Linked DNA regions of Caenorhabditis elegans. The protein of the gene in region 1 purifies or fractionates together with the protein of each later gene. This does not show direct contact. Each region holds a gene or a part of one and is shown in the gene's direction. Other genes may lie near its edges.

Region 1 (5,905 bases):
CAATTTATGAACAGGTATTAAGATTGTAAAACTGTAAAAACATAGTTTAATAATATAATTTCAGCGTTCAAGACGTTTTATTTGTATGAATGAAAAAAACAATTTTGTGAGAATTTTCTGTGTAATTTCGTTACTTTTAAAACGGTAGAACTCCGGTTAAATCTTTTTTTTTCTTATGCTTGTTGAATGTTTATTCATTTTACATTAACTTCCAATTATATACACAATATGCTTCTTCCTGGTGTTTTGGCTGCATTGAGTTATTTGGTATTTGTGATTGCATTGGCCGTTTGCATGTCGTTGTAAGCTTCAATTCTGGTCTTCCACAGTTCAACATAAATTTTCAGAGTCTGTGCAGTGTTCGGAGCAAGAATGAGCTCACCGTCACACTCTAATCTCGAAAAAGAAGAATTGAACAAAATCAATGTTGTTAAAAGTTATTATACAGCTGAGAAAAATTTGAATGATGCATAGCAATAAAAATAAGTGTTATATTGTGATTTGTAAATTTGAAAAGTGGTTTTAAACCCAGAGATTACGTAATTAATTGTGCTCATTGTTCAAATAGCTCAAAAAAAAAACTTCAGAATTTATTTTATCATTGAGAGCACCATTCCGCCACTCGTTGTTCTGCTGCTGGTTTGCCTGGCTCTAGTCTGGGGAGTGATTGTGTAATTAAATAATATTCAACGTTTTGCAATGAACAATTGAATTTTTCAGCGCGTGCTATATTGCTGATGTCGCATGGGCAGTATGTTTTGCGGGAACTGCAATCAAGTCAATACAAAAAGCCCGACAACGTGAAGGCATACAGTCACGAGTTTTTGTTGTGGAGCGCTCATATGAAAGAAATGAATTCTGTGAGGAGATGATTAAAATGATTTGAAATCTTGTGACAAAATTATTAAAAGTAAGTATTATTTTTTTTTTGGGTACGGTAGGGATGTACGGCAAATACTTTTGCAAACGTACAAAACTTTTAATTTCCTAATTATAACTTTTTGTATAACAAAGTTTATATTGCAATGTAGGGAAGTAAGTTTGAAAAAATTTTAAAGAGTATGCCGAGATACATTTTGATTTGCAATCAAAAGGATCCATAAATTAATCTCTTAAAATTTTAAAGAATGGATCGTAAATGACAAAAGTACAGTAAAGTTGGGTTCATTATTTTTAAAACTTAAAATGCCAGTACTAAAAAAAACTTTCAAAACTTTTGTTAATGATTTAAGAATTAGTTTGCAATTTTATTTTAAATTTCTTCGTATTTTTAAGTCGTTTCTCTAAACTTTTATAAAATTTATTAAGGATTTTTTCCTTATTTTTGAACATGTTCATTGTCAGTGAGAAAATAAGTAGAAAGGCAGGAAATTTCGGGGAAACATATATTTTTTTCAAAACTGAGAGCATATATTTTTCAGGTCTGAATGCAATACTATTGTAGACATTTGTCATTGTTAGCACTGCACAGATTAATTATTGATCTCCTTTTTTTGTTAATGAATGTTGATGTTACATATGTCAATTTCTGAACAATTTTTCATATCGATTTTGGTTGAAACCAATAAGTATACCTGTATATTTAATTAATTATCCTTCTTAACTTTTTGTTAGTTTCAATTACTATTTCGCAAACCTGCATGACTTGTTTCAACATGGACATCATCAAATGCATCTATCTCATCTTGCTCCTAATTTGGTCAATATTTTTGTAAGTGACGATGATCTGAAATTATTTTTAAATAGTTATGGAAATTATAGCATCATCCTATTCATAACTCTCATCAGAGAATGGTTCTTCCCACAGCCCCGTTTTTTCGAAAGATTTGAGGATGAAGAGGAGCCAAGTCGTCCACAAGGATTTGTATCTCTTGACGTGGAGCAACTGGAGCAAATGCATGGGCTGGAAGTATATGCTGCCAACAAAGTGATCATAGACACTGTTCCACTTCTTCCTATTTAAAGTAAGAAAAATGTTCGTAAATTTTTTCAAAATTTTATTACAGACGATCAACATGCACCATATGTATTCATAATTTGTAACAACGATAAAATTGAAATACAGTAGTATAGACTATTTCTTTTTAGTAGCTCTCGAATAACTTTTTTGTGGATAAATTTTAGCGTGCCCTTCCGTTTTGGTTAATATTTTGGTATTGTTAGGTTGCCAAACCATAACTATTATTTTGGTTTGATCAGAGGTGTGCGGTAATTGGTAAGTTGAGCAATTGCTGGTTTTTGAATTTGCTGCAGTGAGCAATTTTGGAACTGGCTGAAATTGCCCAAATTTCGGATTACTGGAATTCTTAAACTTTTCTTAAACCATATTTATGATTGTAAAATTTAACCTTGACGTAATTCATGTGTTAATTATTTCGTCAGACATTTTTTTTCTGTGTGAGGAGTAAAAATTCTGGTCTAAAATGCATACATGTACACGCTTTTATAAAACATTTCAATTCTCATTATCGGCGATTGAAAAATATATCGCACACATCTCATTTCAAGATTCAGATACCTCATTTTTATACAACTCAAACTTTACCATGGACGTCCAGAATTTAGTGACCATTGGATTTTTGATAGTTATCGGTTTGACTTCGGCGGTGGTCATGTAATTTCTTATTCCACTTTCAAAAAATAATTCAATTTTATCCAAAATTTTAGAATTTGGTACTTCATTGCCGAGGTGTTTCAAAACATGCATAAACACATTGCTCGAACCACAGTCATCCGAGTTGAAGCTACCATTTAGAGGTTGCTGTCATCTATTTTTTTCAAATTTTTTAATGGGAATTAATTTCAGAAATTGTACTGCTAATCATAGATGTTTCCTGATACACCCTACCGATTGCCCATTACTTTTTTACACCAATAAACGTATTTAAATTATTACCGATTTATCTTCTATTACTATATCCCACAAGGTTGTTAATCCTTGTCTCATATTTATAAGTTTCATTTTTTGTTCAACATTCCGAATTATTTGTCAGATGGAAACAGCTCAAACAATCAAATATCATGTTCCGCCGATGCTCATTTTTTTGGTTGTTGTCCTCTCGTGTCTCAGGTGAGAACAAAGTTTTCAGGAGTCTTTTAAAAAACAAAATGAACATTTTTGAATTTCCAGCATTGGTTTTTTGGTAGACTACATCATGCAAAAGTACGGTTGCTGTGGACGGAGAGGAAGTTGCTGCCGGCCAGAGCTGGAAGGAGATGAGGACGCTGAGAACGCTCAAGGGTCTATACCCCTAGCATCACTTGGAACAACTAACGACCCATTACCAGGAAGACTACCATTGCTGTCACGAGCTCCTATCAACAATTCACGCGTTTAAGTGTCTTATTGTATTATTTTCCCAATTGCTATAACCCGCATAATCATACCACACATTTCAATAAATTGTCATAATTATCATTGAAACCTAGAGAGAACATAAGTTTGTGTTTAATTTTTATATGTATAAAGTTATTACTGAATAAATTGGCAATTTCAAAATGATTCCATTTAGCCCCAATTTGCAATATATACGAAAATTAGATCAATAGGTTTTTGTCATGTGTCCCTTTTTTTCGTACTGTTGTGTAGTATCCAGTTATAGAATTATTTCCAGACATTACAAAAACATTCTCTATATATCAACAAACTCGAATTATTTTGTTTTAAAAGCGTCGCTGCTCAGAGAATTCAATGGCTCCGTATCACACTGAGCAGCGACTCATGCAAATTCAAATTGTAATTGTTTACTGAGTTTGAATCTATGCACTCATAGATTATTGGCTCGGCCAGTACATACTTGCAAGTCTCTCAATCAATTAAGAATAGAGGTTTATGTTTTTGATGTGTTTTTTACACAGTATTTGCTCTTCGCCTCCAATCCCCCTTGCCCTCTTCACCACTTTTTCATGTTCCCTTTCCAACATTTTTTTGTGCGCATATAGCATCTGCCAATTTTCTTCCATCTACTCAATCTGTGCATTGCCCCGTGATGAGCAGCGAGTGACGAATATCTGGGCAATAAACGGAGTGATGAATACAGTCAAAGAGGCGCACAGAAACACAGAGATCCGCTGCACATAAGTTTCTTCGTCCCTCCTTCTCGACTCATGTACCATTTCCCAGTTCTCATTATCACATTGTGTTGCTTCCACTATAGATTTAATTGTTTTCTTGTTTCAGGCTCATCATGAAGTTAGCGACTGCCGGGATCATATGTATCCTGATGTTGATTAATTGTGGACTCTTTGTGAAAACAGACCAAATTGAGGTAAACTTCAAATATGTTTATCAGATTTAAAAATTGATTTTTTTTTCAGGCCGGAAATACCAGCAGCATTACGGAAAAGTCTACAGACACTGCAACGTTGGATGTGTCTATCGAAGAAGTTGGTGCTACTTACGATTGTTTCGCTTGGTGGCAAGAAACGGGATTTCTCTTCTGGGCATCGCTTTGCGGAATTGTGTAAGTTTTTTTTTGTTTTAGAGCATACCAGTAGTGTGTTTTACAAATTTTTCCTGCCGACGTTTGATAACTTTCTGTGTAATTGTGAAAACTTTCTGTCCCAGTTTGATAATTTGTTGTCGGTGTAAGCTGACCTTACAACTATCTGCCAACAAGAAAGTTTCCTCCAAACACTGAGACTTGTGCTTCACTAGAAACTTCACTAGGCAACCCAGAATCTTACGCCTACAAACCCCGTTCAACATATTGAAACTCAAAGTTCTAAATTTTTAGATTGACAATCCTGATGTACCTCTTCACCAGCCGCCTTATCAAAGAGGTCCGTAGAATGAAGAAAGAAAGCAAGCTTCTCATCCGTCTTAGGAACTACTTCTCGGACTTCCTCGCTGACCCGTGCAGTTCGAGAAACGCCTACGCAAAAGCATACGGAAAGGAAGACAACGAAAGCATCAAAAGTGAAACCATCTCTGTGGACCTTGATATGATTATTTGAATTATTTGTTTTTTTTGTATTGGTTTGAAGTTTCCCGTATTTTTCGTTGTTCTAGTAGTTATTTTTCAAGTTTTCCTTTTTTTTTTCTAATGTTTTCTAAACGTGCTCCTTTGTCCCTCTCTGCCTTTTCTGACACATGGGTGTCTTGATTGCTCACTTCGAAAACCAAACCAGTTGATGATTTTATTTTCAAAAAATTTTTGATTTTAAAGTATAAAAGCCTCTCAGTAAACCGTTTGAATTCCATCTCAACTGAACATTTCTCTCTTCAGCAACCTTGAATGTCACGAGGAAGATAAACATTGCGCTCAAATTTTCCGTTGGAAGTCCCCGACTTTTTTTCTGTTTCATAGTTTTTACGATGAGCAAAGTCTAAAAGCTTACTTGTATTTAACACCAAAAACACTTTTCGGTGGGCGAATTATTTTTTGAGTCTGACGATAACAAATCTCACGAGGGTCGGTGACAACAGATGTTTTCAATCTGACTGTTTTCTTCTGAAACTTCATATACTATTTCCACTACATTCCTACATCTGTCGTATTTCGGGGAAATTTTCTATCAATGTTTCCATTAAAAACAGCGCACTTTTACAGAACCTTTTCTCACTGAAGATTTAGAGCATTCGACCCCAATTTCATGGTCAGCAGGAGGTGATGAAAATCTTCATTTTATTGATCATGCTATACGCGATGACGTTACCGACGAATTGTTTGAATAAGGACCTCTTTACGGTAAGGTAATAGTAGCAACAGTTGGAAAAAATGTTAGAAACCGCTTCTATGGTGATAAAATGACTGAACATCGTGGTAAAAGTTTTCAAAAAATTTTTGAAACTTTTTATTTGTTTCAAAAAAGTGGTAATCAGTCAGGTTTGGCTACATTTTGGAAGTTATCGACCAAAAATGAAAAAATTCCTCCGAATTTTATGTTCTTATGTATGTTCTCA
Region 2 (9,793 bases), on another chromosome or scaffold:
TACATGGAAAATTAATTTAGAAATCAGATTCAGCATATGAAATAGTTTTTGGTACAAAAATTTTATTATGATAACGTAAAAATAAGGAAAAGCAATTCTTTGGGATCTCATGAGATTTTTGAAAACATCGCCGAACTTTCATTTTTTTTTTACGTGCGAAACCATCCAGATTAAGGGCGATTCTAAAGAAGTTACGCTCACTGTACTTTAGTTTATCATATCAAAAATCAAAGTAGAATAATACAAAAATACAAGTTTAATAATGAAAGAGCTCTTCAAACTGAGCATTTTCCCAGAAAATCAATAATTTTCCAGCGAAGTTCTCGGAATCGAAGGAAATCCTATGGCTCTTCACGGTGTGATGTTCATTCCAGCCCTCAACGCTCAAGCTAGTGATGAGCAGCAAGCCAAGTGGCTCATTCGAGCGCTCCGACGAGAAATCATCGGAACCTACGCCCAAACTGAAATGGGTCATGGCACAAATCTTCAAAATCTGGAAACAACTGCTACTTATGACATTGGAACTCAGGAGTTTGTGCTTCACACTCCAAAGATCACCGCATTGAAGTGGTGGCCAGGGAATCTTGGAAAAAGCAGCAACTATGCAGTTGTAGTTGCACATATGTATATAAAGGGAAAGAACTTTGGACCACATACCTTCATGGTTCCATTGAGAGACGAGAAAACTCACAAACCACTTCCAGGGATTACAATTGGAGATATTGGACCAAAAATGGCTTATAATATTGTAGACAATGGATTCCTAGGCTTCAACAACTACCGTATCCCAAGAACGAATCTTTTGATGAGACATACCAAAGTAGAGGCTGACGGGACTTATATCAAACCACCACATGCAAAGATCAATTACTCTGCAATGGTACATGTGAGAAGTTATATGCTTACTGGACAGGCGATTATGTTGTCGTATGCGTTGAATATTGCAACAAGATACTCGGCAGTGAGAAGACAGGGGCAGATTGATAAAAAGTAAGTTGGAACTTTTATGAATAAGATCTGAAGAATACCAACTACTATTAGTAAAATAAAAAAGGGTTATAGGTTGAATTTCTTGGGTTGAGCTATCTCTAAATATATTTTTCATAACTAAAAAGCTTATTTCATGGCTTGAAAATAGATTCGTCTTTAGTAAGAATGATCATAACTATAACTATACATCAATACTTTTATGTGCATACCTATGTAGTACGTCTATTACCTTTATATATAGAAGTTCCGTAAATAACAGACTTCGCTGTGCCACTCACAACTTACATAACTTCTCAGTTTTGTTACTGTTACGAATTACGAACTACGATATGAATTACGCCTGTTAAACAATACAACGTAAATGTTACGAAAAATGTTACGTTTGATCAACAAAAAATGCGGGAATTTTCCCCCAGGAAAATGTGACGTCATCACGCAAAATCAGTTGAAAAATCTGCATCTCTTCTCCCGCATTTTTCGTAGAACAAACCAAAATGGGACACTTTGACACCACGTGCGAATTACGAGAAACTTAATTACTTGCAAACCCCATCCTCACTTATCCTCTTTCCAGTGAACCAGAGGTAAAAGTGCTCGAGTACCAAACCCAGCAGCACCGTCTCTTCCCATTCATCGCCCGTGCCTACGCTTTCCAGTTTGCTGGTGCCGAGACCGTGAAGCTTTACGAACGAGTACTCAAGGAGATGAAATCTGGAAATGTGTCTCTTATGGCTGACTTACATGCATTGACTTCTGGTTTAAAATCAGTTGTTACTCATCAAACTGGAGAAGGTATCGAACAAGCGAGAATGGCTTGTGGTGGGCATGGATATTCTATGGTAGGAATGTTATAATTGAAATTGCAAATTCTAAAGGAATGTTTCAGGCTAGTTACATCTCTGAAATCTACGGAGTTGCAATTGGAGGATGCACGTATGAAGGAGAAAATATGGTTATGCTTCTTCAACTCGCTCGTTACCTCGTCAAATCCGCTGCCCTTGTGAAGTCCGGAAAAGCTTCTCAGCTTGGACCACTGGTAGCCTACTTGGGCGCCAGAAGTGAGCCAACTAGCCTGATAGATAGAGTTCCAAATGGTGGAATCACGGAATACATCAAGACATTCCAACATATCGCAAAGAGACAGACGTTGAAGGCTGCCAACAAGTTCTTCGGATTAATGGAGAATGGAGAAAAGAGAGAAATCGCCTGGAACAAGTCATCCGTGGAGTTGAATAGGGTATGTTTGACTTATGCTTGTGATTTTTGAGAATACGAGTGATGGTACATTGTGGCCTTGATGTCCATTTGCCCATTTCCTTGCAGAAAATGCAAAACCTGCAAAACTTTAGATGCACTTTTGAGCTTGTTTATCAATATTTGTCAACAATCATTGAATTCTTATCAGTTGTCCCTGCAACCTTACTAGGAAAATTAGTTCAAACACCAAAATGTTGGAAAAGTGCATTTGCTATGTAGCAAAAACTGGTGAAATCTGGTAGAATTTTGTAAATCCGAAACCTTTTTTGGGCTCTATATTAGGGTGCATACTAGATACCAGAGCCGTATTTAAAGTTAAAGATGACTAAAGATTCTGAACACACTAGCTTAAGACATTGTAACAAAAGCGACACTCTTAAAATTAAAAGTCCGAAAAGTATATATTTCTAGGCGAGTCGCCTCCACACCCGCCTCTTCATCGTCGAAGCCTTTGCCAGACGAGTCAACGAAATCGGAGATATCACCATCAAAGAGGCTCTCAGCGATCTCCTCCATCTTCACGTCAACTATGAACTTTTGGATGTTGCCACGTATGCACTGGAAGATGGATTCATGTCATCCACTCAGTTGGATTATGTCAGAGATCAATTGTACTTCTATCTCCAGAAAATTCGACCAAACGCAGTTTCATTGCTAGATTCCTGGGAGTTTAGTGATAGAGAGCTGAGATCTGTAAGTTCCAAAGCTAATGGGTTCTAAAATTAAATAACTGAAATTTCAGGTCCTAGGCCGCCGTGATGGTCATGTCTACGAGAACCTTTTCAAGTGGGCAAAGGAAAGTCCGTTGAACAAGACAGATGTTCTTCCGTCAGTGGATACATATTTGAAGCCAATGATGGAAAAAGCCAGGCAGAGCAAGCTATAATTCTAATTTATATTTTTGATTTTTTTTTCTCTTGCATACTCTTTGCTTATACTGTTAAATATTTGAAAATGCAAACATTGCACTTATAAATAGTACAGGCCAATAATCACAACTCCGCCCATCACTCCTTTTATACCCTTTCCATCAGTTCATCCATCCATTCTTCTTTTTTGTTGATATCAGTAACATGGCGAACCGATCAATTCGTGATGGAGATAACCCCGAATTGCTGGAAGAACGGAGGATGGCAACTTTTGATACGGATAAGATGGCAGCGGTGATCTATGGAAGTGAAGAGGTAAGGACTGCAAACTACAAACTATTGATTACAAGCTTTATTAGGCTAATAGAAAATCAGATTATACATAATTTTAGTATGAATCAAGAGTTATCAAAGCTGAAATTTTATAATGTTTTAAAGCACAATGGAATGTATACATACATGTTCTTGAAAAATATTGTATACCTTAAGTGGAGACCATGTATGTTTCGCACCGTATAACTTAATCAGTTAGAACGACATGTTCCACCACGTGGCATTGAACAATAAAATCCCTGTAATTCCACAAAAATCAATTTTCGTCGTTTTCCCTTTGTCGGAAAAATTTTTTTTATTAGGTAAGATTAGATAGCCACTATTTTTTCTGAGAGATAGAGACCATAAAACGAAATACATATTCTGTCAATCAGCAGGAAAGTGCAAAAGTCAATGTTTCTAGTAGTGTGTAAAGGTTTCAGCAAACCATGAACATACATATGTATCAAGATTTTGGACAGTAAAGAAACAGGGAAATGAACTATCATAGTTTATGAGGGAAATTATCCCCGTCGATGCACCATGTTTCGAATGATTCAAACTTTGGTGCCTCACTTTGGTTGATTGCATTTTTTTTTGAAATAATTAATTGTCAACTTATTAAATGAAAAAAAAACTGTCTTAATACATAGAAAATTATTTGTTCAGTTCGCTCGTCGCCGTCGTGAGATCACCGACGCCGTGTCCAAGATCCCTGAGCTCGCCGACATCAAGCCCTATCCATTTTTGACTCGAGAGGAGAAGGTGACCGAGGGCACCAGAAAAATATCGATTTTGACAAAATATCTGAATCAGCTGATTGATAGAGATAATGAAGAAGAAAGTTTGCACCTGCATCGGTAAGGATTTTCTTTTCAAATTCAGTGTGATTTGGTAGATCTCACTTAATTGTCTCATACGTCGGTTTTATTTAGGTTTATAGAAAATTTGTTAACTGGTACAGTATTGTTTATCTGCTTGCTTGCAACTTTGTTCTGAAGTATATGCTAGCGCCTACCGATTTCCGTCAAGAGCTTCCATGAAAAATTTTGAAAAAATAAACCTCAAATGTTTGCCACTTTTCCTTTAAACTTTTCTCACAATCAGGTAAATTCCCACTTTCCAGAGAAGTGATTGGCTACGAGGGTCATCCCTTCGCTCTCCATGACGCTTTGTTTATTCCAACCCTTCAGTCACAGGCTAGTGATGAACAGCAGGAGAAATGGCTCGAGAGAGCTCGGCGACGAGAGATCATTGGATGTTATGCGCAAACTGAGCTCGGTCACGGCTCAAATCTTAGGAATCTTGAAACAACTGCAGTCTATGACATTGCTTCCCAGGAGTTTGTACTACATACTCCTACGACAACGGCGTTGAAGTGGTGGCCTGGAGCACTTGGGAAGAGCTGTAACTATGCATTGGTTGTAGCTGAACTGATTATAAAGAGAAATAACTATGGCCCCCACTTTTTTATGGTGCAGCTGAGAGATGAAAAAACCCATATTCCACTAAAAGGCGTTACCGTAGGAGATATCGGGCCTAAAATGAACTTCAATGCGGCGGATAATGGGTACCTTGGGTTGAACAACTTGAGAGTTCCACGAACAAATCTTTTGATGAGACATTGCAAAGTAGAGGCGGATGGGACGTATGTGAAGCCACCGCATGCAAAGATCGGGTACTCTGGAATGGTGAAGATCAGAAGTCAGATGGCTATGGAGCAGGGGTTGTTTTTAGCACATGCATTGACAATTGCAGCGAGGTATTCGGCAGTGAGGAGGCAAGGACATTTGGATGATAAGTGAGTTGAACAGTGGTTTTTATTGGACATAAAGTACCACAACTATTCAAATGTTATTTGCTCTATCTAGGAAACGTTTTTTGTCTTCAGATTTATCTTTAACCTACAGGGATCTCTGGAAAATTTGGAGCAAGTTGTGTAATTTTGTAAAAAATTAAAATTGCAATGGTCACTGTCAAAAGGTAGCATAGCATGTAAACGTATTCACCTTTTTTTTCAGATTTTTTCGACAACCAAAAATTCTGAATTCACTTTGAAATTTGAACTAAAATCCGATGCCCAATTAATCGTTAACCTTCAATTCTACCACCCAGAAATTCCAGGCAAGTCGAAGTAAAAGTCCTTGACTACCAGACCCAGCAGCATCGTCTATTCCCATCATTAGCCCGTGCGTATGCATTTATATTCACTGGATTTGAGACAATTCACTTATATTCTCAATTATTAAAAGATGTTGATATGGGTAATACATCTGGAATGGCTGATTTACATGCATTGACTTCTGGTTTAAAATCAGTTGTTGCTCATGAAACTGGAGAAGGTATTGAACAGGCGAGGATGGCTTGTGGTGGACATGGATACTCTATGGTAGGTTTTGAAAATCAAGTAAAAAAGAAAAAGCATTTTATGGAGTTGTTTCAGGCTAGTTATATATCTGTCGTATATGGGATTGCTATTGGCGGATGCACTTATGAAGGGGAGAACATGGTGATGCTCCTGCAACTTGCACGGTATTTAGTGAAATCCGTGGAACTTATCAAGGCCGGTAAAGCTAAGAAATTAGGACCAGTGGCATCATATCTAGCAGACAAGAGTGATGAAACTGATCTAACCAGCCTGAATGGATATGTAAAGATGTTCGAGAACATGGCTAGAAGGCAGGCTTGGAAAGCAACAGAGAAATTCTTGAAATTGATGGAAAGTGGGGAATCAAGAGAAGTGGCATGGAATAAATCAGCAGTGGAGTTGACTAGAGTAAGTTTATCTACAACATTTACCACTATTGAGTTCCAAAAGCTCTGATGTGGTTTTTTTCGTGGTTCAAAAATATACAATAGAAATCTAGATCCAAACTATGTCGTTCAGTTGTTTGCCCAATTTTCGAAGATACACAAAGAAAGGCCTGTAGACATATCATTATTATTATAAGTTATTAAAACTAAAAAATATCCCAATAAAAAAATGCGGTAATTTATATGCCAAGGTCAGTTTTTTTGATTGAACTGGAAGCTTCTGGACCCTAGAAAATTTTTGTAATTAAATTCTGAAAGCCCTTAAAATTTGAAACAAGTCCCCGAAGAAACATTTTCAAAAAAGTTCATTTTAAGGCAATTTTTAAAGTTATGAAAACTACATAAATTCTCCCAAAAAAAATGCGCCTAAAATTTGAAAAAAATCTGGAAAGTGCTAAAATTTTCTGAAAAGATCTGGAAAAGTCTAGAATTTTTTAAAATAAAAGTTGGAAAGTTTTAGAATTTTCTTGAAAGTCCGCAAAACTTCAGGAAATTGTGTAACTGTACAAAAATGTTACATGAGCAATTTAAAATTTATTAGAACAATTTAGCGTTCGCCAGTACGCAAATTGTGCATGCGAACGACTGGTTGTATATAATTTGTATTGCTACTAGGAAATAATATCTGGCAAGCATAGTTATGTAAATTAAAACACACAGTTAACAAAAGTGCAACAGATAGTAACCACCTTATCATTTAAATGCAACCTTCATTGGTTTGAAGAAATGTTTTGGTTTTTGAACCAAATTCTTAAAAAGGGTGTGCAAATACTGATACTTTAAAAAAAATTAGAATGTTGCAATGTATACCCAGAAATATCAATTTTTACACCCAGCAATTTCAGGCTAGCCGTCTACACACCCGTCTATTCATAATCGAAGCTTTTATGAGAAGAGTGTCTCGAATTGAAGATATTCCAGTGAAAGAGGTTCTAACAGATCTTCTCCATCTTCATGTCAACTATGAACTATTGGATGTTGCCACGTATGCACTGGAATTCATGTCATTCACTCAGTTGGATTATGTTAGAGATCAACTATATTTGTATCTGGAGAAGATTCGACCAAATGCAGTATCTCTAGTTGACTCTTTTCAGATTAGTGATATGCAATTGAGATCTGTAAGTATTTTGGGACAATGTAGTTATGAAACACAGAGGTTTTAGGTCCTTGGCCGCCGGGATGGTCACGTCTACGAGAATCTCTTCAAATGGGCAAAGTCAAGTCCCTTGAACAACGCAGATGTTCTACCGTCAGTCGAGAAGTACTTAAAGCCTATGATGGAAAAGGCGAAGCTTTAACTTTTTAATTTTTCTTATATTACTTTTAAAAAATAAATACGTCAACAGACTAAAGAGAGCAACAAATACAAACTATTCAAAATCATCACAGACCAACTGATGTATACATATGTGATAAGAAATTGATAAATATTGGCAACATTTTTCAGAATGCAAACAATTATTGTTGCACTTTAATAATGATGATTTTTTTTCTTAAATTACACTTTTTACAATTTTTTGTATATAACAGTTAGTTAATTGGTTCTTACAGTCCTCATTGAGGATTTTATGGCATTGTTCTAGTTCTACCTGAATTTGGAAAATTTTTCAAATATTCTATCTCATATGTTGTGTTATAAAATCAAATATTATAAAAACGAAACTCCTGCAAATGTAATGTATTCCTTTAAGTTTTCCGATTTTCAGACTGTACAATGAGCTCAATTTGCAAAGGAGATAACTCAGATCTCACAGAAGAACGAAAGAATGCGACTTTTGATACGGATAAGATGGCTGCCGTGATATATGGACGTGAAGAGGTAAGGGGGGCAAATAGACTACAAATTACAGGCAGCAAAAGGCCAAATGGCGTATGAAAATGCCGTAGACGGTTCGATGGTGAACAACTGAGGCCCGCGGTTAGTCCGTCCCCGGCAGAAAGTGCATCCATTCAACTGCCTGATTTTTGGTCGTCCAGGCTTTAAAATTTTAGTTTTTGGGAAAATTTACTTTTTTTTTGTCACTCTACCGGCCTGAAATATGCTTTAAAATTCAGCTTAGAATCTCCGTTGGCTTTTCCAGATTGCTAGTCGCCGTCGACAACTCACTGAATCCATCTCCCGGATCCATGAGCTTGCAGAATCCAAACCCCTAGTTTTCATGACACGAGAGGAAAAAATCGCTGAGTCCTGTAGAAAGCTGGAGGTTTTGAGTCGACACTGGAATCAGACCCCGTTCAACAGAGACAACGAAGAAGATGCACTGCACATCTACAGGTATTAGTTGGAGCAAACTTGCAACTAATGATCACTTTTCAGAGAGGTATTGGGGATGGAGGGACATCCGTTGGCGCTTCACGATACAATGTTCATACCGACTTTGGTTGCACAGGCGAGCCAAGAGCAGCAGGAGAAGTGGTTGGGGAGAGCTAGAAGGAAGGAGATTATTGGATGTTATGCACAGACCGAGATGGGTCATGGTGAGTATTGGGGTTATTTACTTGTATGCCGTATCGTTACAGTAATCTTGTCCATACTTGAAATAGTAGGAAGTCACAATTTGTTGAGATACTACATCTCGAGAGATGCTAGTAGGTTACAAATTTATAGCTAAAACTATCGATATTTGGGAAGAGCTCACCCTTCTTTGACCAACTTTTAGAGCAAGACCGTCTAGAAGGCTTGATGAAGTCTGAAGCTTGAAGCTTTGAAGCTTGAAGTCTGATCCAGAAACTTATCCAAAATATGACTCAATCTTCGACCAAGATTCGAAAATGTTCTGCTCACTCTTAGAATTTTTAATTATTAGCGCTCAGTCGTAGGTCAAAGAATGAACCGCCATGTTCAGAAATAACAATAAAATGTAGGTTTTAGGTACCAATCTCCGAAAACTTGAAACCACAGCCACCTACTCCCCGGACACCCAGGAATTCATCCTGAACACCCCAACCATCACAGCTCTCAAATGGTGGCCCGGAGCACTCGGGAAGAGTTCCAACAACGCTATAGTAGTTGCTAATTTGCTTATCAAAGACCAAAACTATGGACCACATCCTTTCATGGTTCAACTGAGAGATGAGAAGACTCATATTCCACTAAAAGGAATCGTAGTTGGAGATATTGGCCCGAAAATGGCATTCAATGGAGCGGATAATGGATATCTTGGCTTCAATAACCACCGAATTCCAAGAACAAATCTTTTGATGAGACATACCAAAGTAGAAGCAAATGGGACTTATATAAAACCTTCTCATGCAAAGATTGGGTACTCGAGTATGGTAAAAGTGAGAAGTCGAATGGCAATGGATCAGGGATTGTTCTTAGCATCGGCTTTGGTAATAGCTGTGAGATACTCGGCAGTGAGGAGACAAGGTTTCTTGGAAGACAAGTGAGTAATTTGATGTAGTTTTACATGAAGTTTCCCAGAATATCAACAATATCAGAGCGAACTTCTTTAGAACGTTTAACAAACGTCAAAATTTAATAGTGTTGCAGAACCCAAAAAGTAAAAGTCCTTGACTACCAGACCCAGCAGCATCGTCTATTCCCA
Region 3 (7,324 bases), on another chromosome or scaffold:
GCCGGATAACGCGTGGAAAAGTCGTGTACTCTACACGGACAAATACATTTAGTTTTACAACTAAAACCGAGCCGCGACGCGACACGCAACGCGCCGTAAATCTACCCCAGATATGGTCGAGCCAAAATGGCCTAGTTCGGCAAAAACTCTTCCATTTCAAGGGAAGCCAGAAGCGTGCGTACTCGCGAGTACGGTAACTGAGAAAAATTTTACAGTCGTGGTGGGACCCAGGTTACATGAAAACGCAATGATTTCTCACTGAAATCTTGTGAAAAATTGAAAAATAGAAGAAATTTTGAGTTATTTTTTCTGAAAAACTCGAAAACTCCTTTTAAATTTCGATTTCGCCCAAAAATTTAATTTTTTTGCAGCATCCAAATGTCGTTAAATTCTACGGAGTTGGTGCAAGCCAGGAGCCGCTGTACGTCATCATGGAGTTGGCGGATTGTGGAGCCCTGGACTCGTACCTTCAGAAGAATCCGAATTTGGTGCCCGACAAGAAGATGGAGATGATCTACCAAGCAGCGTGTGGAATCTCGTATATGCACGAGAAGAAACTTCTACATCGAGACATTGCGGCGAGAAATTGCCTGTATGGAGGTGGTCAGGTCAAGATTGCGGATTTTGGGTTATCCCGTGAGGGAATCTCGTATGTCATGGACCTGACGAAGAAGGTTCCGATTCGTTGGTTGGCTCCGGAGACGTTGAAAGCGGGGATTTATAGTCCGAAGACTGATGTGTTTGCGTTCGGTTAGTCTTTCCAATAACATTTTCAAATAAAATAGACATTTTTTCAGGAATAATGGCTTGGGAGATCACTGAGAATGGGAAGGAGCCGTACCCAGACATGAGAGTTGCTGACGTCGTCGGAAAGGTCCGTAATGGATACCGCATGCGGTTTGATCCGGTCTTTGTGGACTTCAGATTCGGCGACTATGTCACGGTTGGTTTGAATCTGAAATTATAGCTAATTACTAATTTCTCATTTTTCAGAAGCACTGCTGGGCTGAAAATCCGGCGGATCGTGTGAGCATGGCGGATGTTCTGCGCTATCTTCAGACAACTTTTGGGATGAAGCCAGTGGTTCTATCGATTCTATCGAGCAATCGCTCGACCGAGGAGGAGATGAAGACGATGAAGCCGCCAATGTTCTCGGTGAAGAGAAACAACAAGAAGAAGCCGAAGTGATCTTTGATTTGTTCGGAAATAAAGTTTTGATAGTTTTGACTTGAGATGTTAATAAAATTGTTTTATTACCCTGAGAATTCGAGAGAAGAATACGGTACCTGGTCTCGAAACGACAATTGTTTGTTAAATGCGTGAAGGTGTGCGCCTTTAAAGAGTACTGTAATTTAAAAATTGCGGTATTTTCTTCAATTTTTTTATTTCTTTTGATTTGTTAAAACATATACTGTTTTTTGTTAGTTTATTGATGAATAAATTCAATTTTTTTTACAAAAAAACTACGAAAAGTCGATAATTACAGTAATTTTCAAAGAAAGGCGCACAGATTTATTCAGATTGGTCTTGGCACGCAAAAAAGTTTATGGTAGTTTATTTTTGTGCGATTTTATCTATCGGTGAAATTACGATGTTAATTTTTTCAAATTCATATAGCGGATCTGGAAATATTTTTGACGTTGATAATTTTGTGTTTTATAGCCTGAAACCGACTTAAAATACAGAAATTTCTACAACCCAAAATTGTCGTAAGATCCGCTGCTTGCGGACATCAAGTGTCGTCGTTTATGACGTAAAGTCCGCAGATACACACACATGACTCATGAATTTGTTTTTATCGCTTTCTTGCGAAATTTAACTTATAAAAGCACTTTCTCACCGTAATTCTCGTATTTCAGAAACTCAAATACCAGCTTAATACACATAAAATCATCATGGGAGCCGGAGAAAGCAGTATGGCCTTGGAAAGTGAGTTTCAAATTGATTTCTCTTGATTTTGACTTATTTTCATGTTTTTATCTTCCAGAACACTTATTTGATCTTAAATTCGCAGCGAAACAGTTGGAAAAGAATGCTCAACGATGCGAGAAGGATGAAAAGGTCGAGAAAGACAAGCTGACGGCAGCTATTAAGGTAAAAAATAATTAAAAATGAAAAAAAAAACAATTATTTTTTAAATTCGATTTTTTCCAGAAAGGAAACAAAGAAGTCGCACAGGTTCATGCTGAAAATGCGATCAGGAAGAAGAATGAAGCAGTGAACTACATTAAAATGGCCGCCAGAATCGACGCAGTGGCCGCCCGAGTTCAAACCGCCGCCACACAAAAACGAGTAACCGCCAGCATGAGCGGCGTAGTGAAAGCCATGGAAAGCGCCATGAAGAGCATGAATCTCGAGAAAGTTCAACAGTTGATGGATAGATTCGAAAGAGATTTCGAAGATCTCGACGTGACCACAAAGACGATGGAAAAGACGATGGACGGAACGACAGTGTTGAATGCTCCGAAGTCACAGGTGGATGCTCTGATTGCAGAGGCCGCCGACAAGGCAGGCATCGAGCTCAACCAGGAGCTTCCGTCAAACGTGCCAACTGCTCTGCCGACCGGGACGCAAGCTGTTTCAGAAGACAAGGACCTCACAGAACGCCTGGCTGCTCTTCGCAACATGTGATCTTCCAGATTTCTCAAGAAATTTCTGTGAATATGAATATTCTGCTGACGGTTTCATTTTTAAAATTAAGATACTGCTTTTTTTCTTGTATATACAACATTTCTCTCAATAATGAAGCAACAATTTTTCTGCTTTTTTTTTGTTTTATCTAATCTATCTAGATCTACGAAGTTCAGCTCATGTCTTCTTCGAAATATTTATTCTTTTATTTTTCAGAACATTTTTTCTACAAATCGGTCGCTTACGTGTAGGCCACAACAATCACCGCCCGCGTTTCATTCTCTGCGTCTCTCGTCTTCCCACACTCTCTCTCCACATCGTCTTATCTCTCTCATCACTTGTTTTATTATTTTTATTCTTATTTTTCACGAATTTTCTATAAAAAACGGAATTTTCGAAGGTTTTTAAGGAAAAACGTGGCAGTTTTAAAGCTATTTTAAACATTTTTCGGCTAAAATTTCGAATTTCGGCTTTAATTAATTGATTCAAATTTAAAAATCAAATTCTGAACTCTGAAGTGTGTACTTTGACCCCGCCGCCGCTGTTTTTTTCGATCATTTCTTCATTTATTAATAAATAAATAAATTTATTCCCAGTTTTTCTTCCAGCCAAGCGATGAAGATTCTCGTCGGAGTCAAGAGAGTTGTCGACTATGCTGTCAAGGTAGGATTTCAGGAAAAAGAGCAAAAAATTCGAAAAAACAGCTTAATTTCGGCGAAAATCTTGAATTTCACCAACTTTTCCGTGTCGCAGCAGTTGGAAATCAGTTTTTTGTCATTTTTGGCTCAAAGTGTACCCCAATCAACGGAAAATCGATTAAAATTGGCAATAAAAGCTGATTTCCAACCGCTGTGACACGGAAAACTTGGATAAATTGGAGATTTTAGACACATTTCGATTCTATAAAAGCCCAAAATTTCCAGATCCGTGTCAAGCCGGACCGCTCGGGAGTCGTCACCGAAGGAGTTCAACACAGCATGAATCCATTCGACGAGATCGCTTTAGAGGAGGCCGTCAAGCTCAAGGAGAAGAAGCTCGCCACCGAAGTCGTCGCGTTCTCGCTCGGCGGACCAAAATCCGCCGAAGTGCTCCGGACCGCGTTGGCGAAGGGCGCCGACAAGGCAGTTCACGTTCAGGTGACCGACGCCGAAGCTGGCAAGCTCGAGTCATTCCACGTGGCGAAGGCGCTTCAGAAGATTGTCGAGCAGGAGAAGTTCGACGCGGTTTTTCTCGGAAAGCAGGCAATCGATGATGATTCGTCGCAAACTGCTCCGATTCTCGCTGGCCTGCTCGAGTGGCCACAGGCTCTCTACGCGTCGAAGGTTGAAGACGCAGGCGCTGGACACATGAAGGTCACCCGTGAAATTGATGGAGGTCTTGACACGATTAAGGTGATTCTTACTATATCGATCGATAGCCGTGAAAAGCAGCCCCGCACAGAACGCGAGACGGGGCTTGATATTGCAACCCTGCGGCACGGTTTTTCCTTTTTCCGCTTGTTTTTTGTTTGATTTTTTCAATTTTTCATGTTTTAATCTCTTTTTTCGAATGAGAACGTTATTTAATTTAAAATCAAAATTTATTAATCGATCCTTAAATTTTGCAAAAATTTGTCGCACAGAAAGTGGGGCGGAGCGTAGCTTACGCAACACTGCCGCACGGGGTTTGTCTCCGCCCCTTTTCCACTGCTTTTTTTGTTGATTTTTTCAATAAAGTTTCGATTTTTCTCTTTTTTTTCGAATTGGATTTTCATTCGAAAAAAAAAGAAATTATTGAAAAAATCAACAAGAAAAGCTTAAAAGCAGTAGAAAAGGGGCGGAGGCAAACCCCGTGCGGCAGTGTTGCAAAAGCTATGCCCCGCCCCACTTTCTGGGCGACAAAATTTCTTGCAAAATTCAAGGATCGATTAATAAATTTTGATAGTTAATTAAATAACGTTCTTATTCGAAAAAAAAGGAGATTAAAACATGAAAAATTGAAAAAGCGAAAAAAGGAGGAAAAACCGTGCCGCAAGGTTGCAAAATAACGCCCCGCCCCTATTTCTGCGCGCCGCTATTTTGTTTGCAAAATTCACGGATCTAAAGTTTTATTCGAAAAATTTTCTATTTTCCAGGTCAAAGTGCCATTCGTCCTATCCGCCGATCTTCGCCTCAACGAGCCCCGCTACGCGACTCTTCCAAACATCATGAAGGCCAAGAAGAAGCCACTGAAGAACATTCCAATCAAAGATCTGAATGTAGATATCACACCACAAACTGAAACTCTTGAAGTCACCGAGCCACCAGTTCGCCAGGCCGGAGGATTCGTCGACGATGTCTCGGCACTTGTCGCCAAGCTCAAGGAGAAGGGATTCGTCAAGGCTTAAGCCCCCGATAACCTCTTCCGCCGCTGAATTATTGTAGTAGTCGAATCAGAAAATTTTGTATTTAAATTATTTTTATTATTTTTTCTATTCAATGTTTTATGTGATGCAGGTTTAAAAAAGTATGAAAAATTATTTTTGTTCATAAAAGTGAATAGCTTGAACGGGAAACGATCAAAAAACGGAATGCATTGTTCACAAAACCATGGGAGAATTGGTGTAGGTAGATCTGGAAATATTACGGATTATTATCTGGGCGCGAAAAATTACGCGCCCCGCCCCTAAACGATGGGTCTCGTTAGGTAAATATTTGGCGGCAAGACGGGAAATTCAAATGTTTTACATTATTCTTGCCAATTTTTAAGCTTTTTTTCATATTTTTTATAAGTTTTAGGTCGAAATAACGATTACTTCCGACGATTTTACCCGTTTTCAAGCATTTTTCGTTATTTTTTATGTTTTTATGCCGAAATTATGGTTAAAAATGATTATGACATTAACTTTTTCAATTTTGACAAAAAAAAACTCATTGAAAACAGCGAAAAATGCTGGAAAATTGGCAAAAACGGTTTTCCCGCCAATTCCTAACGAGACCCAACGGTTTGGGGTGGAGATTTGTCCGTGGAGCGCAATTGCACTTTATAGTATTACGGAAACTCACACATTCTGAGAATGCGTACAGCGCAGCATATTTGACGCGCAAAATATGAAAATATCTCGTAGCGAAAACTACAGTAATTCTTTAAATGACTACTGTAGGCCGATTTACGGGCTCGAATATTGAAATGAATTTCATTTCGAATAGTGACAAAGATATTCAATTTTTCTTCGTTTTTCAAACAAAAAATCATTTTCGTAAATCGACACAAGTGCTACAGTAGTCATTCAAAGAATTACTGTAGTTTTCGTTACGAGATATTTTCATATTTTGCACGTCAAATATGTTGCGAAATACGCATTCTAAGAATTTTTAAGTTCCCGTAATATTGGAATTTTTGGAATGAAAAAAAAAAAGAAAAACTTACCATTCTAGTCTGAGAATTGCACTGGGGACATATGGATTTTGAGGGCGATGATGTGTTGAATGACTCGTATTTCGGAGATTTCATGCGGAACGACGTCGAGTCCCCACACCGGAATACCTCTGCCGACCTTGATGACGTCATCCGTAACGTGGCTCGCCCTGAAACGACGTGTCGTGTCTGCTCCCGCTGCTCATTGCACATTGAGAGCCTCGCCTGCCGCCGACGCCGCATCATCACACTCTCACCGTCGGATCTTCGTTCGATCAACAGAGTCAGCGAATCGGAGCGGGACATCCAGAATCGGAAGATGCTCGCCGCCTGATCTACGGAAACGGCGCGAAGTGAGATCTTGTTGCACCGGAGTAGACGATCGCCTTCTCGAAGATGTGTGCTCTGGAAGTTTTTTAGAATTTTTTTCGAAAAAAAAAGTGACCCCTAACTGAATTATGAGTGCAGCTAAGCATGTTGAGCTCAAGAAAAAAAGAAAAGAAAAAGTAGCGGCCATCCAATTATGTGTACCCGCGGCTCATCGGACTTGAGCGAGCCCTATTACTCATTCAAGTGCTCACTAAATTGGCTTTTTCTTCTTCTTTTTTCTTGGGTCTTGCCGCGATTATGCACATATGTGTATAATAATTTTTCCCCTATTGTGCGCCTTTAAAGAGTACTGTAGCTTCAAAGTTTTGTGGGATTTTTTTTGATTTCTCATAGTGTTTCGTTAAAAATCGATTTTTTTAATTAAAAAATTACTGAATTCGATTTTAAAATTTTTTGTTAAATATAAACGGGTGAGCGCCTTTAAAGGGTACTGTAATTTCGAACTTTCGCTGCTATGGAATTTTTTAAATAGATTTTTCGTAGTTTTTCGATAAAAATATATTTATTTATTTAAAAAAAGAAATAAAACAAAACATAAAAACTACGAAAAAATCGATGCAAATTTCATAGCAACGAAAGTTTGAAATTACAGTACTCTTTAAAGGCGCGCATCCATTTTTATTTAACAAACATTTTAAAAATTGAATTCAGTTTTTTAAATAAAAAAAAATCGATAAAAATCCCACAAAAGTTTGAAACTACAGTACTCTTTAGAGGCGCACAATAGGGGAAAAATTGTATGTGCATAATCGATAATTGTCGTGTACACGTGGTATCAGAGTGTCTCATTTCGGCTTGATCTACGTAGATCTACAAAAAATGCGGGAGAAGAGACGCAGAGTTCTCAACTGATTTTGCACGTGCTTACGTCACATTTTTTTAGGCAAAAAATTTCCGCATTTTTTGTAGATCAAACAGCAATGGGACA

The links. Proteins that work in one complex are often made in the same cells at the same time.
Region 2: the proteins of R160.10 (region 1) and acox-1.2 fractionate together in Caenorhabditis elegans (co-fractionation; one large-scale study listed by BioGRID). This does not show direct contact.
Region 3: the proteins of R160.10 (region 1) and etfb-1 fractionate together in Caenorhabditis elegans (co-fractionation; one large-scale study listed by BioGRID). This does not show direct contact.

Annotation. Positions count from the first base shown.
Region 1 is NC_003284.9:4,364,601-4,370,505, reverse strand, and holds R160.10 (uncharacterized protein), read left to right. Parts: upstream 1-2,991; 5' UTR 2,992-2,993; coding exon 2,994-3,070; intron 3,071-3,130; coding exon 3,131-3,338; 3' UTR 3,339-3,480; downstream 3,481-5,905. Other genes in the region: R160.5 (uncharacterized protein), read left to right, coding at 348-474; R160.4 (DUF4845 domain-containing protein), read left to right, coding at 1,656-1,711, 1,762-1,963; R160.3 (Leucine-rich repeat domain-containing protein), read left to right, coding at 4,188-4,268, 4,318-4,463, 4,737-4,956; F14H12.8 (uncharacterized protein), read left to right, coding at 5,613-5,690.
Region 2 is NC_003279.8:12,938,988-12,948,780, forward strand, and holds acox-1.2 (Acyl-coenzyme A oxidase acox-1.2), read left to right. Parts: upstream 1-3,292; 5' UTR 3,293-3,320; coding exon 3,321-3,431; intron 3,432-4,097; coding exon 4,098-4,288; intron 4,289-4,554; coding exon 4,555-5,229; intron 5,230-5,552; coding exon 5,553-5,817; intron 5,818-5,871; coding exon 5,872-6,204; intron 6,205-7,087; coding exon 7,088-7,363; intron 7,364-7,408; coding exon 7,409-7,543; 3' UTR 7,544-7,601; downstream 7,602-9,793. Other genes in the region: Acyl-coenzyme A oxidase acox-1.1, read left to right, coding at 316-990, 1,565-1,829, 1,877-2,227, 2,659-2,940, 2,990-3,133; Acyl-coenzyme A oxidase acox-1.3, read left to right, coding at 7,960-8,064, 8,327-8,520, 8,563-8,723, 9,118-9,631, 9,739-9,793. UniProt on the Caenorhabditis elegans protein: Involved in the first step of peroxisomal beta-oxidation by catalyzing the desaturation of fatty acid-derived side chains of ascaroside pheromones, which regulates development and behavior.
Region 3 is NC_003279.8:2,416,269-2,423,592, reverse strand, and holds etfb-1 (Electron transfer flavoprotein subunit beta), read left to right. Parts: upstream 1-3,239; 5' UTR 3,240-3,246; coding exon 3,247-3,294; intron 3,295-3,554; coding exon 3,555-4,022; intron 4,023-4,744; coding exon 4,745-4,996; 3' UTR 4,997-5,132; downstream 5,133-7,324. Other genes in the region: F23C8.7 (Tyrosine-protein kinase), read left to right, coding at 372-750, 798-943, 994-1,188; did-2 (Charged multivesicular body protein 1b), read left to right, coding at 1,896-1,929, 1,988-2,094, 2,155-2,631; F23C8.13 (PDZ domain-containing protein), read right to left, coding at 5,136-5,222, 6,019-6,411.